2 linked regions of the Arabidopsis thaliana genome follow. The protein of the gene in region 1 interacts with the protein of each later gene in a pairwise test. Each region holds a gene or a part of one and is shown in the gene's direction. Other genes may lie near its edges.

The links. The genes of interacting proteins can lie anywhere in the genome.
Region 2: the proteins of IBR3 (region 1) and AT5G46030 interact in a two-hybrid assay, tested with the Arabidopsis thaliana proteins (one large-scale study listed by BioGRID).

The regions. Positions count from the first base shown.
Region 1 is NC_003074.8:2,144,229-2,151,351, forward strand, and holds IBR3 (acyl-CoA dehydrogenase-like protein), read left to right. Parts: upstream 1-2,014; 5' UTR 2,015-2,305; coding exon 2,306-2,440; intron 2,441-2,528; coding exon 2,529-2,663; intron 2,664-2,875; coding exon 2,876-3,016; intron 3,017-3,128; coding exon 3,129-3,260; intron 3,261-3,375; coding exon 3,376-3,561; intron 3,562-3,641; coding exon 3,642-3,719; intron 3,720-3,808; coding exon 3,809-3,928; intron 3,929-4,043; coding exon 4,044-4,142; intron 4,143-4,223; coding exon 4,224-4,341; intron 4,342-4,414; coding exon 4,415-4,656; intron 4,657-4,736; coding exon 4,737-4,934; intron 4,935-5,019; coding exon 5,020-5,162; intron 5,163-5,332; coding exon 5,333-5,417; intron 5,418-5,504; coding exon 5,505-5,714; intron 5,715-5,813; coding exon 5,814-5,966; intron 5,967-6,036; coding exon 6,037-6,141; intron 6,142-6,231; coding exon 6,232-6,426; 3' UTR 6,427-6,623; downstream 6,624-7,123. Other genes in the region: AT3G06780 (glycine-rich protein), read left to right, coding at 1-11; MORF3 (plastid developmental protein DAG), read right to left, coding at 336-526, 619-684, 939-1,032, 1,132-1,515; BRCC36B (Mov34/MPN/PAD-1 family protein), read right to left, coding at 6,799-6,921, 7,005-7,059. UniProt on the Arabidopsis thaliana protein: Involved with IBR1 and IBR10 in the peroxisomal beta-oxidation of indole-3-butyric acid (IBA) to form indole-3-acetic acid (IAA), a biologically active auxin. May be responsible for catalyzing the first step in IBA-CoA beta-oxidation.
Region 2 is NC_003076.8:18,668,489-18,671,975, forward strand, and holds AT5G46030 (transcription elongation factor-like protein), read left to right. Parts: upstream 1-1,562; 5' UTR 1,563-1,751; exon of another isoform or gene 1,752-2,031; 5' UTR 2,032-2,042; coding exon 2,043-2,155; intron 2,156-2,229; coding exon 2,230-2,300; intron 2,301-2,387; coding exon 2,388-2,409; intron 2,410-2,493; coding exon 2,494-2,650; 3' UTR 2,651-2,908; downstream 2,909-3,487. Other genes in the region: AT5G46040 (Major facilitator superfamily protein), read right to left, coding at 2,909-3,487. UniProt on the Arabidopsis thaliana protein: Transcription elongation factor implicated in the maintenance of proper chromatin structure in actively transcribed regions.

The DNA.
Region 1 (7,123 bases):
CGGTATGCTGACAAATTCGTGGTCGTGGTGATGATTCCTGGTTAAAAGTATTCTTAATCTCGGTTCCAATTACATCATATGATCTCTCGTGTGTATATATATTACATTGTACATATTTATTTAATTTCTCCTTCGCAAGTTCACATTAGATTTTTATAATTTGTTCTGTTTAGAGTAGTGTTTAGTCATCATTAGAGACATGAATGATGATTGATTTGTTTGATTAAGTGGATAAAAACTGAAAAGTCTCTCACATGAGTGTTTAAGACAAGCATGTAAATACCATAATCCTAATAAACTCCATCCATTACATAATGCATTGTTCATGTTTAATATTAAGCACTGGGCTTGTTGAACTCTCCCGGATTTACTGGAGAATGAAGACCCATGGATGGCTCTCTCCTCTCAACCTGCATTGTCTCACGGCGCCTATCATACCTTGGCCTAGGACGGGGTCTAGTATGACGCTGTTCCGTGAACCTGTACTGTGGTCTGGGTATGACCTTTCCTTCAACGTACAAGTCACCTGAACATGAGAGCCAAAGACAGATGGTATCAGTATTAAGAACCATATCTCAGTACCCAATCATTCAGACAAAATCTACAAACGTTACACACCTCCGTAGTCTTTGTTTGGTACATCGAGATAGGAATCCGGCAGCACCCAGAGAACACCAGGCAATGCTAATGAATCACACAACTCTAGATCAGATTTCTCAAACAGTAAAATATGTTCTCATTTTATAGTACTAGAGACAGACAATAACTGCGATAAAACAAAGATCAAGAGAAGTTTCCTCCTAGCTGTTGAACAGAGCAGTACCAAACAGAGAAAGCCTTTTACGATAAATCTCAACATCATAAGTAAACAACTAGAAAAGCTATGTCAGAGCAAAAAAGGCTTAAAAACCTAATTGCAAATATGGAGAAGTTGATACCTTTGACTTTGCAAGAGAGCTCTTCAGAGATCAAAGCACCAAAGCCAGTGTAGGTCGAAGTACAAACAGAGTAAATCTTCTTCTTGGCCTCTTCCTCACTATAGTTTAACCATTATTACCCACAAAATGCAAATCCGTCAATCCCCAAATGCACAAGAAAACATTTGAGAGTCAAAATCAAATGAAAAGGAACTTGCCAGCCAAGGACGGAAGTTAAGGTTTTGACATAAGAATTGATCATCTCTTCTTCAGTAGGTTTAGGATCAGTGAACTCCATGACGATGAGCCAGTGCTCATAATCGCACCCATCAAGAAGAATCGTCTCCTTCGGCGGACGGTTGCTCCAATTCGGCGAAGGATCATTCAGCGGCGAGTATCCGGACCCGGATGTCTTGGGTCGGGTCGAGATGTAACACGGGCCCAGGCTGGTTCGGGAAGAGGAAACCTTTTCAATTAGAGGCATGGCGAATCGAGAACGAGAAGAGAGCGTAGGAAATGAAGAAGAATATGAAGTAGAGGAAGAGAGGGTTTTGTTTAGGAGTGTCGATAATGTTCGCCGTGTGCTGATAAGAGCCATCGCCGGTGAGGGTTTCGGCTTCTGTTCTTCTTCGGTCCTTCTCTTTGCAGAAGCTTTGAGAAACTATATGGGCTTAGTGGGCCTTTGATTTATACTTTTTAGATGGGCTATTAAAAAATTTCTCTACATTAAATTCCTTAGTTTAGTAGTTAAAAGTTTCCCAACAGAAAAATACTTTAAATCTTCTTGTCAAATACTTCAACACTCCTAATTGAAACACTTTCAGTGTTAAAAAAATGTTTCAATTATCGCTTGTCAAATTGTTTGTTCATTCTTAAGTGTTTTCAGAAAGAAAATTTCGTCCTCGTTAGCTATAAAACGTATTCATTTTGTATTAGCTTTCTTAATGTGAATATGACGTCCTAAGTCAAATCACCTAATCTAAAATTTTGATTTGAGTTAGCAAAATGTCCATCAAGTTAATTCATGGATAACTTTTCCAACCTATATATGGTTAGTAATTAGTAATTATCTTTGGCTTTTTTTGGATGCATATAAAATCACAATGACGATAATAACGATGATTATCAAAATCAAAATGGTTACTGTATTTACTATTTATAAAAAAAGAAAACATAGAATTATCTCTCCAAAAATAAGAAAAGTAGATAAACATTTCTGAAATTGCTGTAAGGTCAAAAGTAAAAAGAAAATTATCCAAAAGAAAGGTTATGCGACTTTCCGTAAATGGAATTGTTGGTATGAATGCGTGTATTTGTGTTTTAGAGAGCTATTCTTGTTGATGAATCTCTGAGGAGCAGAGCGAGATAGAGGAGAGTGAAGGAACATCATGGGAAGCAGCACGGGCGATCTTGTGACACGTATCCAATCAGCTCACCGTTTCGATCACGATGCCTTGTTTCGTTTTGCCGCCGACAACGTCTCTGGCTTTCCGACCAACCCTTCCCAATTCAAAGTCTCACAGGTATGTTTTCCAATCGCCGAGGTTTTTTCTCCGGTAAGAAAGAAACTTTTATCTGACTGTGTTTTGTTTTGGTTTGGTTTACATACAGTTCGGACATGGGCAGTCGAATCCAACGTTTCTGATAGAGGTTGGCTCAGGGAGTTCCTTGAAACGATACGTTTTGAGGAAGAAGCCTCCTGGCAAGCTTCTTCAATCTGCTCATGCTGTTGATCGAGAGTTTCAGGTATCAATCAATTAATAATCTTTACCTCTGTAAAATTCATTGTAACTGTTCATACTCGATTTTTGAAGAAGATGAAATTTTGTTGTTTCTAGTACCGTTTTGAAATGCAGAATCATTGTAACTTTTTGTGATGCTGCTTATAAGAGATACGGTATCAACTAAAGGTAGATGCTTTTTTTGCTTAATACTTTGATGGTGGTTGGTTTATGTAGGTGCTTCGGGCTTTAGGTGAACATACACAGGTTCCTGTTCCTAAAGTCTTCTGCTTATGCACTGACCCTGCTGTCATTGGGACTGCTTTTTACATTATGGAGTTTATGGAAGGACGTATTTTCATTGATCCAAAGTTGCCGGTAAGATATTCTCTGTTATGTGAATGTGTATGTACGGTTTTTTTAGCTTGAGATGTGACTCATTGTAAACGAAAGGTGTAAATTTGTGTGTGTTTCATCGGTTTTGATTTAGAATGTAGCACCTGAAAGGAGAAATGCGATCTATCGTGCAACCGCCAAAGCCTTGGCATCTCTTCACTCTGCTGATGTGGATGCCATTGGTCTTGAGAAATATGGTCGGCGAGGCAATTACTGCAAAAGACAGGTTTGTTCTTTATTTGGGGCTGGTGAATTTCCAAATCACTACTCACTAGTTTGATGTTCTCTTAATGCTTATATGCTCTTGCTAAAGTTTTTTCTTTTGGATACCTCCATTTCAGATAGATAGGTGGTTCAAACAATATTTGGCTTCAACAAGTGAAGGTAAACCTGAAAGGAATCCAAAGATGTTTGAGCTTGTTGATTGGTTACGCAAAAACATCCCCGCGGAAGATTCAACTGGAGCAACATCAGGCCTTGTCCATGGAGACTTTCGCATTGACAATCTCGTTTTTCATCCTTCTGAGGTCTTAATACTTTCAAGATCTTTTGTTTTCTGATCCTTGGATAGTCTCGGAGACTTAACTGAAAATATCTTAAACTGTAGGATCGAGTTATTGGAATAATTGACTGGGAATTGTCCACGCTTGGGAACCAAATGTGTGATGTTGCATACAGCTGCATGGTAATAACCTATTCTTGTTTGTTGTATTGTACTCATAAAGCAGTTTTCTTTGCTTCCTGCTCTGATATACAGTTCATTTGTGTTGGCAGCATTACATTGTGAATGTTCAGCTCGATAAGGAGCATGTTAGTGAAGGTTTTGAAACTACTGGGCTTCCAGAAGGAATGCTTTCGATGCCAGAATTTCTCTTAGAATACTGTTCTGCATCGGTATTGTCCTGCAACAACATGTAGTCTTTAAAAGGAATCAAGTCAGGTGTTCCTTGTACATTGCCTATATTTTCTCAATTTCTGTTGTAGTGACATATTGGCAAATGAACTTTAGGGAAAACCATGGCCTGCTGCAAACTGGAAGTTCTACGTAGCGTTCTCCTTATTTCGGGCTGCTTCAATCTACACAGGGGTGTACAGTAGATGGTTAATGGTATTCCCCGGGCATATTTTTGAATTCTAAGATTCTTTATTATGCAGTTGTAGAGCCATTGACATTGTGTTGATCATGCAGGGGAATGCTTCTGCCGGTGAAAGAGCGCGAAATACAGGGGTTCAAGCTAATGAGCTTGTAGAGTCTGCCTTGGGTTATATTGCACGTGAAAATGTTCTTCCAGAACACCCTCCATCTGGTAATCGACCTCTTTGAGATTCAAGTTTGTTAAGGATAACTGTTTATTTTACATTTCTTATATATGGATGCAGTTCAAAGAGACGTGTCTCCGTCGTATGAAAGCCTTGTGGATGGAAGCGGGAGATTCATCCCCAACAGAAAAGTATTGGAGTTAAGGCAGAAGTTGATCAAGTTTATGGAAACTCATATCTACCCAATGGAAAACGAGTTCTCCAAACTTGCTCAATCAGATATGCGATGGACCGTTCACCCTCAGGAGGAAAAGTTAAAGGAAATGGCAAAGAGAGAAGGCCTATGGAACTTATTTGTTCCTGTATGCATCTTTTTCGCTACAAATCTCTTATTACTTTTACCCTGATTGAGACTGTACTTATTGATTCTTGGTTCTTGCAGGTAGATAGTGCTGCTAGAGCTAGAAGAGAACTGGCGGCTACCGAGAATAAACATAACCTCTCGGGCAAGTCTTTTGATCAATTGTTTGGTGAGGGCCTCACGAACCTGGAGTATGGTTACCTTTGTGAGATCATGGGTCGTTCTGTTTGGGCTCCACAGGTGTTTAACTGTGGTGCACCAGATACTGGAAACATGGAGGTATAAAAGCCTGATGTTGTTTACCGTTCCAAGAGTTGTCTCATTGCTTGTTACTTGTATTTATATAATCTGTACTATCTTGTAGGTGATACTGCGGTATGGTAACAAAGAACAAATTTCTGAATGGCTTATTCCGTTGCTCGAGGGAAGAATTCGTTCTGGATTTGCTATGACTGAGCCACAAGTTGCATCGTCTGATGCAACCAATATTGAATGCTCTATCCGAAGGTAAGAGATTTTCTTTATATTGATATCTACTTTCATTCGAATTCTCAACTGAACAAAAAAATGAAAACATTTGAAAGCTATATGTCATCTTCAATTTTTCTACTGGTAACTCCCAAAAAATGAGACTCAGTCCGCAATGTTCCTTATAGCTAATTCTGATGTTGATATAGACAAGGTGATTCATACGTCATTAATGGCACAAAATGGTGGACAAGTGGAGCTATGGATCCCAGGTGCAGAGTCCTTATTCTCATGGTTAGTTCTCTTTCCTTGTTCTATTTCTCTCTTAATCTATCTATATATGTAAATACACACACATGAATTCATATCTGTGCTATATAGGGAAAAACTGATTTCAACGCCCCAAAACATAAGCAGCAGTCTATGATATTAGTGGACATGCGGACTCCAGGTATAAGTGTGAAGAGGCCTCTCACAGTGTTTGGTTTTGATGACGCACCTCATGGACATGCTGAAATTTCTTTTGAAAATGTGGTTGTCCCGGCGAAGAACATTCTCCTTGGAGAAGGCCGAGGATTCGAGATTGCTCAGGTAATACTACAAAAGATTCACAGATTCAGGGCTTGCAGTAACAAAGAGTGTAAGGATTGTGTATTTATCGGTTGCTTGCGTTGTTGTTTGTTATATTAGGGTAGGTTAGGCCCTGGAAGACTGCACCATTGCATGAGACTAATAGGTGCAGCAGAGCGTGGAATGGAGCTAATGGCTCAAAGAGCTCTGAGTAGAAAAACTTTTGGGAAGTTCATTGCGCAGCACGGTTCTTTCGTCTCTGATCTTGCAAAGGTAAACGACACTGCTTTTATCTCCCAATTGCTTCTTATGTTCTTCTTATATGAGTGGTTGTCTGATACAGTTACGGGTAGAGCTAGAAGGAACCCGATTGTTGGTTCTAGAAGCTGCTGATCATCTTGATAAATTTGGAAACAAAAAAGCTCGAGGAATTCTCGCAATGGCCAAGGTAAAAACTGTTGTATTTTGGTGACATTTGTTTTGCGCCAGAAATTGACAAATACAGATCTTGAAGAAGCAAAATCATTTTGGTACTCAGGTTGCAGCTCCAAACATGGCATTGAAGGTACTAGACACGGCAATACAAGTTCATGGAGCAGCCGGTGTATCCTCGGACACAGTTTTAGCGCATTTGTGGGCTACAGCTAGAACACTGAGGATTGCTGATGGACCTGATGAGGTTCATCTTGGGACCATTGGCAAGTTAGAACTGCAAAGAGCTTCAAAGCTTTAAAGCGTTTTGGGATATGCGAATTCGATTCTCAGAATAAGATATCAGTTTTTTTTTTTTACATCATTAATAAAGTTGTTCTTGGGTCTTTTAGTACAAACAGTAAATCTGAATAAATTTACTACTAGATCTTATCTGTTTCATAATGTTAATACTTTATAATATTAAATCTTACTACGAAAACGTATCTTAAACTAAAGTCACAAAAATAATGTTCTTCTCATTCTTCTTTTTTGGTTCTTCCAAAAGTGGATCAGATTCTAAACAACAACAAAGCGATGGAGTCTGGTCAAAATAATACAATGTAAGAAAACAAATGTCCAAATAGAAATATACACAAAGAAGACGGGCATGTGTCTTTAGTTGCAGGTCTTTCTACGATCCTCTTCTGCTTCGGCTGCCAGAACCGTGAACCAGATGAGATGGTCTCCGGCTTGTCTCTGCTCCTTTAAGTTTTTGTGCCTCCAAAACCTCAGCTTCATCCATCAGCATTGCTAACTGCACAACACACAACAGGTTTTAGACCCAACCAAAAAAAAGCATCATCCATGAGAGAGCTTTATTTATGAGGAGACACATACCCGGATCTTGTTCTCCTTCTGCCTATCTTGAAGTGCGTTAATGGCAGGACTCAAGCTGCAAAAGCATGAAGTTCATATAACGAATGACAAAACCACGTATCAAATGTTTTAACACGCTT
Region 2 (3,487 bases), on another chromosome or scaffold:
TGGTGAGATTTGTAAATCTTTTGGTCTTACATGTTAAGAGTAAAAGATGAAGAATTGGAGAAGCATGTCTAACATCCTAAAAACAAGCTATATCCGGTTGATTTGCTACGATTTTGTTTTTGTGAAACGGTGGCTGTAAAGCGGTGAAAAACTTTGCTGTTCTCCTCTAGTATAAACATTGACCTTTATGATGGTTCTACGACTTAGATCGAGTTGGTCTCCAATGTTAATGTTCATCGTACTATTAAAGGCCACAAAATGTTGATCATCGTGAGATTATACCGTGTATCACTTTCTTCTATAATTCCAGAAATTCTTATACAAACACATATTTAATGTCCACGCGCTAATGACCATATGGTAATATTCTCGTGGCATCAATATATTGTCTTAAAGGTAGAGATCTCTGCAAATTGAAAGAAAAATCAACAAATAATTTATCCAGTATAGATTGTCCATTTAAACTTGTCCAAACGGTTCACTTTTATATTTGCCCTTAAAGTAATGAAAAGAAATTGTACCAATTTGCCCTTAAAGTAATGCAGACGCAAATAACTTATAAATGAAGCTCTCCTTTTTTAGTCATGGCCGTTCACTCCAGATGAGATCGTGTCTGAGAAACTATCATTTTTTATCTTCTCTGTCTTCCATGTTTTTTTTTTTTCATCATTTTCATTTCCTTTTTCAAAATCATCAATCATGGTGGTTCTCTATAATTCTTACAAATCATAGAAATTCTGAGATTATCTCAAAATTCTCTATCATAACTTAAAAACGAAGGATATATTAAGAATCAACAACAGAACATTGCTGCTACAATTGATCTTCTTACACGCTTTATATACTTAAACTTGAGTACTTGGACACTCATCAATGGACAACTATGCTTCAGATGTGAGTTACTAGATGACCACTTGGACTAGAGTGCTTGGACACTTATCAATGGACAACTATGCCTCAAATGTGAGTTATTAGATGACCATTTGGACTTGAATGCTTGGACACTCATCAATGGACAACTATGCCTCAGATGAAGTTACATCGACAATGGCCTTTTTGCTGCTACTCGCGTTCTCAACATCACGAACCGTTTCAAGCCCAGATTGCTTAGAAGGTAACTGATCATGGTTAACATCCTCACTTTTCATTGTAATCGATGACAGAGATTCCTTAATCAAGGAGAGAAATAAATGGAACCAAATCAAATAATTGTTGAGAGACAGGGAAGATGATGATAAATCATATGAAATTGGGCTTTTAGTTTTGATTTGGAATATTGAGATTCCCGTAAAAAATTGGTTTTGATTTTGGAAAGAGAGAGAAATAAAGACGATGGAGAAAAGAGTTGAGAGAGAAAATGAGGAGAAAGCGTTGTGGTTCAGAGGGCAATTTGGGAATTTTGATTTGGTAAAGTGCCTTCTCCTTTCAAAGTGCCTAAACGGGTAAATAGTTTTCTAAAAGTGTCTTATAATGTAATAATCTCAATAAACAATTCAAAGCTGTATACCATTCAAGCCCATTATTCAAAATTTTGTTTGACTAATACTATTCAATCGGGTCTATGGGCCTCAGAAAATAATAAATGGGCCTTAAATACTTGGAAACAATGGATAGATCGATCTCAACTTTAAAATGCGTCCAAAAATATAAACAAACAAACATCTCTCGCCGTCAGGTTACATCTATCGCCACCGCAAAGAGACCACCGTCTCCTCCGCAATCTTCATAACCTAAACAACACTCATCCCCTGGTAAGCTCAATTCTCTAATCAATTCAATCTCCTGTGATGTCGATCTGTTTCTACTCAAGTTCAATCTCACGAATCCCTTCTTTGTTCTGTAAATTAGGGTTTCACGATTTGTGTGTCTAGGGATTCAAGATCCCTAATATCTGATCATCTAGTAATTGTGAAAGTATTGATTTTTGTTCTTTTGATTTGAGTTTAGCAATTATTGAGATTTCTTTGAAGTTGAATACCTTTTCTCAATCATTATAAAAGTATTGATTTTTATGTGTGTTTTGTGGCAAAGGTACTTAAACAATGGGAAAGAGGAAATCAAGAGCAAAGCCTGCTCCTACGAAGCGAATGGATAAGCTTGACACAATCTTTAGTTGTCCTTTCTGCAATCACGGGTCTAGTGTCGAATGCATCATGTAAGATGAATCACAATATGTGAATGAAAACAATTGAAATCATTCACTGAATCCTTTGTTGTTTGTTTTCTCAGTGATATGAAGCATCTGATTGGTAAAGCAGCTTGTAGAATCTGTGAAGAAAGCTTTAGTACTACTATCACAGGTTTCTTCGATCTTTCAAGTCGATATAGAATCGGGTTTTGTGGTTTACGTATCTGATCATTCTTTTTTTTTGTTCTGGTTCTTGTAGCTTTGACTGAAGCTATAGACATGTAAGTTACACATCTATTTTCAACATTATGTTTTGGCTTTTGTATTTCTCTAAAATCTCTCTGGTGTCTTCAAAATGAATGCAGTTATAGCGAATGGATCGATGAGTGCGAGAGGGTTAATACCGCGGAAGATGATGTTGTGCAAGAAGAGGAAGAAGAAGTAGAAGAGGAAGAAGAAGAGGAAGAAGAGGAGGATGATGAAGATGACCATGTCTCTGTCAAAAGGAAGTATAACTTCTGAGACGAGTGTTTTATCGAAAATCATGTAAGTCGTCGTCTTAGAGTTATCTGCTTTATGTTGTAATATCTATCTGATGAAATCACAAGAACAATCTTTAGTGTTTTCTCAGTGTCTGATAGAGAAACATACATTTAAGTGAACAATCTTTAATCACAATAACAGTGTATGATTATGATTTGTAAGTGGATTTAAGGCTTTGCTTAATTGGTTCCAATCCATACATTTTATTACAACCAAATAAAAACCTAATGTCTTTCCTTACTCATTGTAGTTATCTACCATATTTGGTTCTTTCTGTTCTACGTTTGCTGATTGCGTAACATCAGCTCTGTACTCATAAAATCTAATTACAACCAAGAAGAGGATGAAGTTAAGCAAATTAAGTACCGCGAAGAACATGTAATAGTTATCCAGCCTAGACTCATTCAAGTTGTTTTGAATCCATCCTCTTCCCTGCTTCTTTGTTATCTGAGACACTGACGAAAGCAAAATGCTGCTCATGAAATACCCGACTGCCATACTTGTGCTCGTATATGATGTCCCGAGGCTTTTCATACTCTCTGGTGCTTGATCGTAGAAAAACTCCAGCTTTGCTATTTCTATGAAAGCATCTGCCAAACCCATTAGTACATACTGTGGAAGCAATGTGAAAATGCTCAAAGGAATTGGTACAGCGGTCTGGTGGGTTAGCCCGTGTTCAGCAGCGACCTTGAGCCTATACCGTTCGGTTATGGACGCGATGATCATGATTAGGATGTGAAGGATCATACCGATTCCCATTCGCTGAAGCAATGTGATACCTCTTGGATTTCCGGTTAGTTTTCTCATGAACTTAAC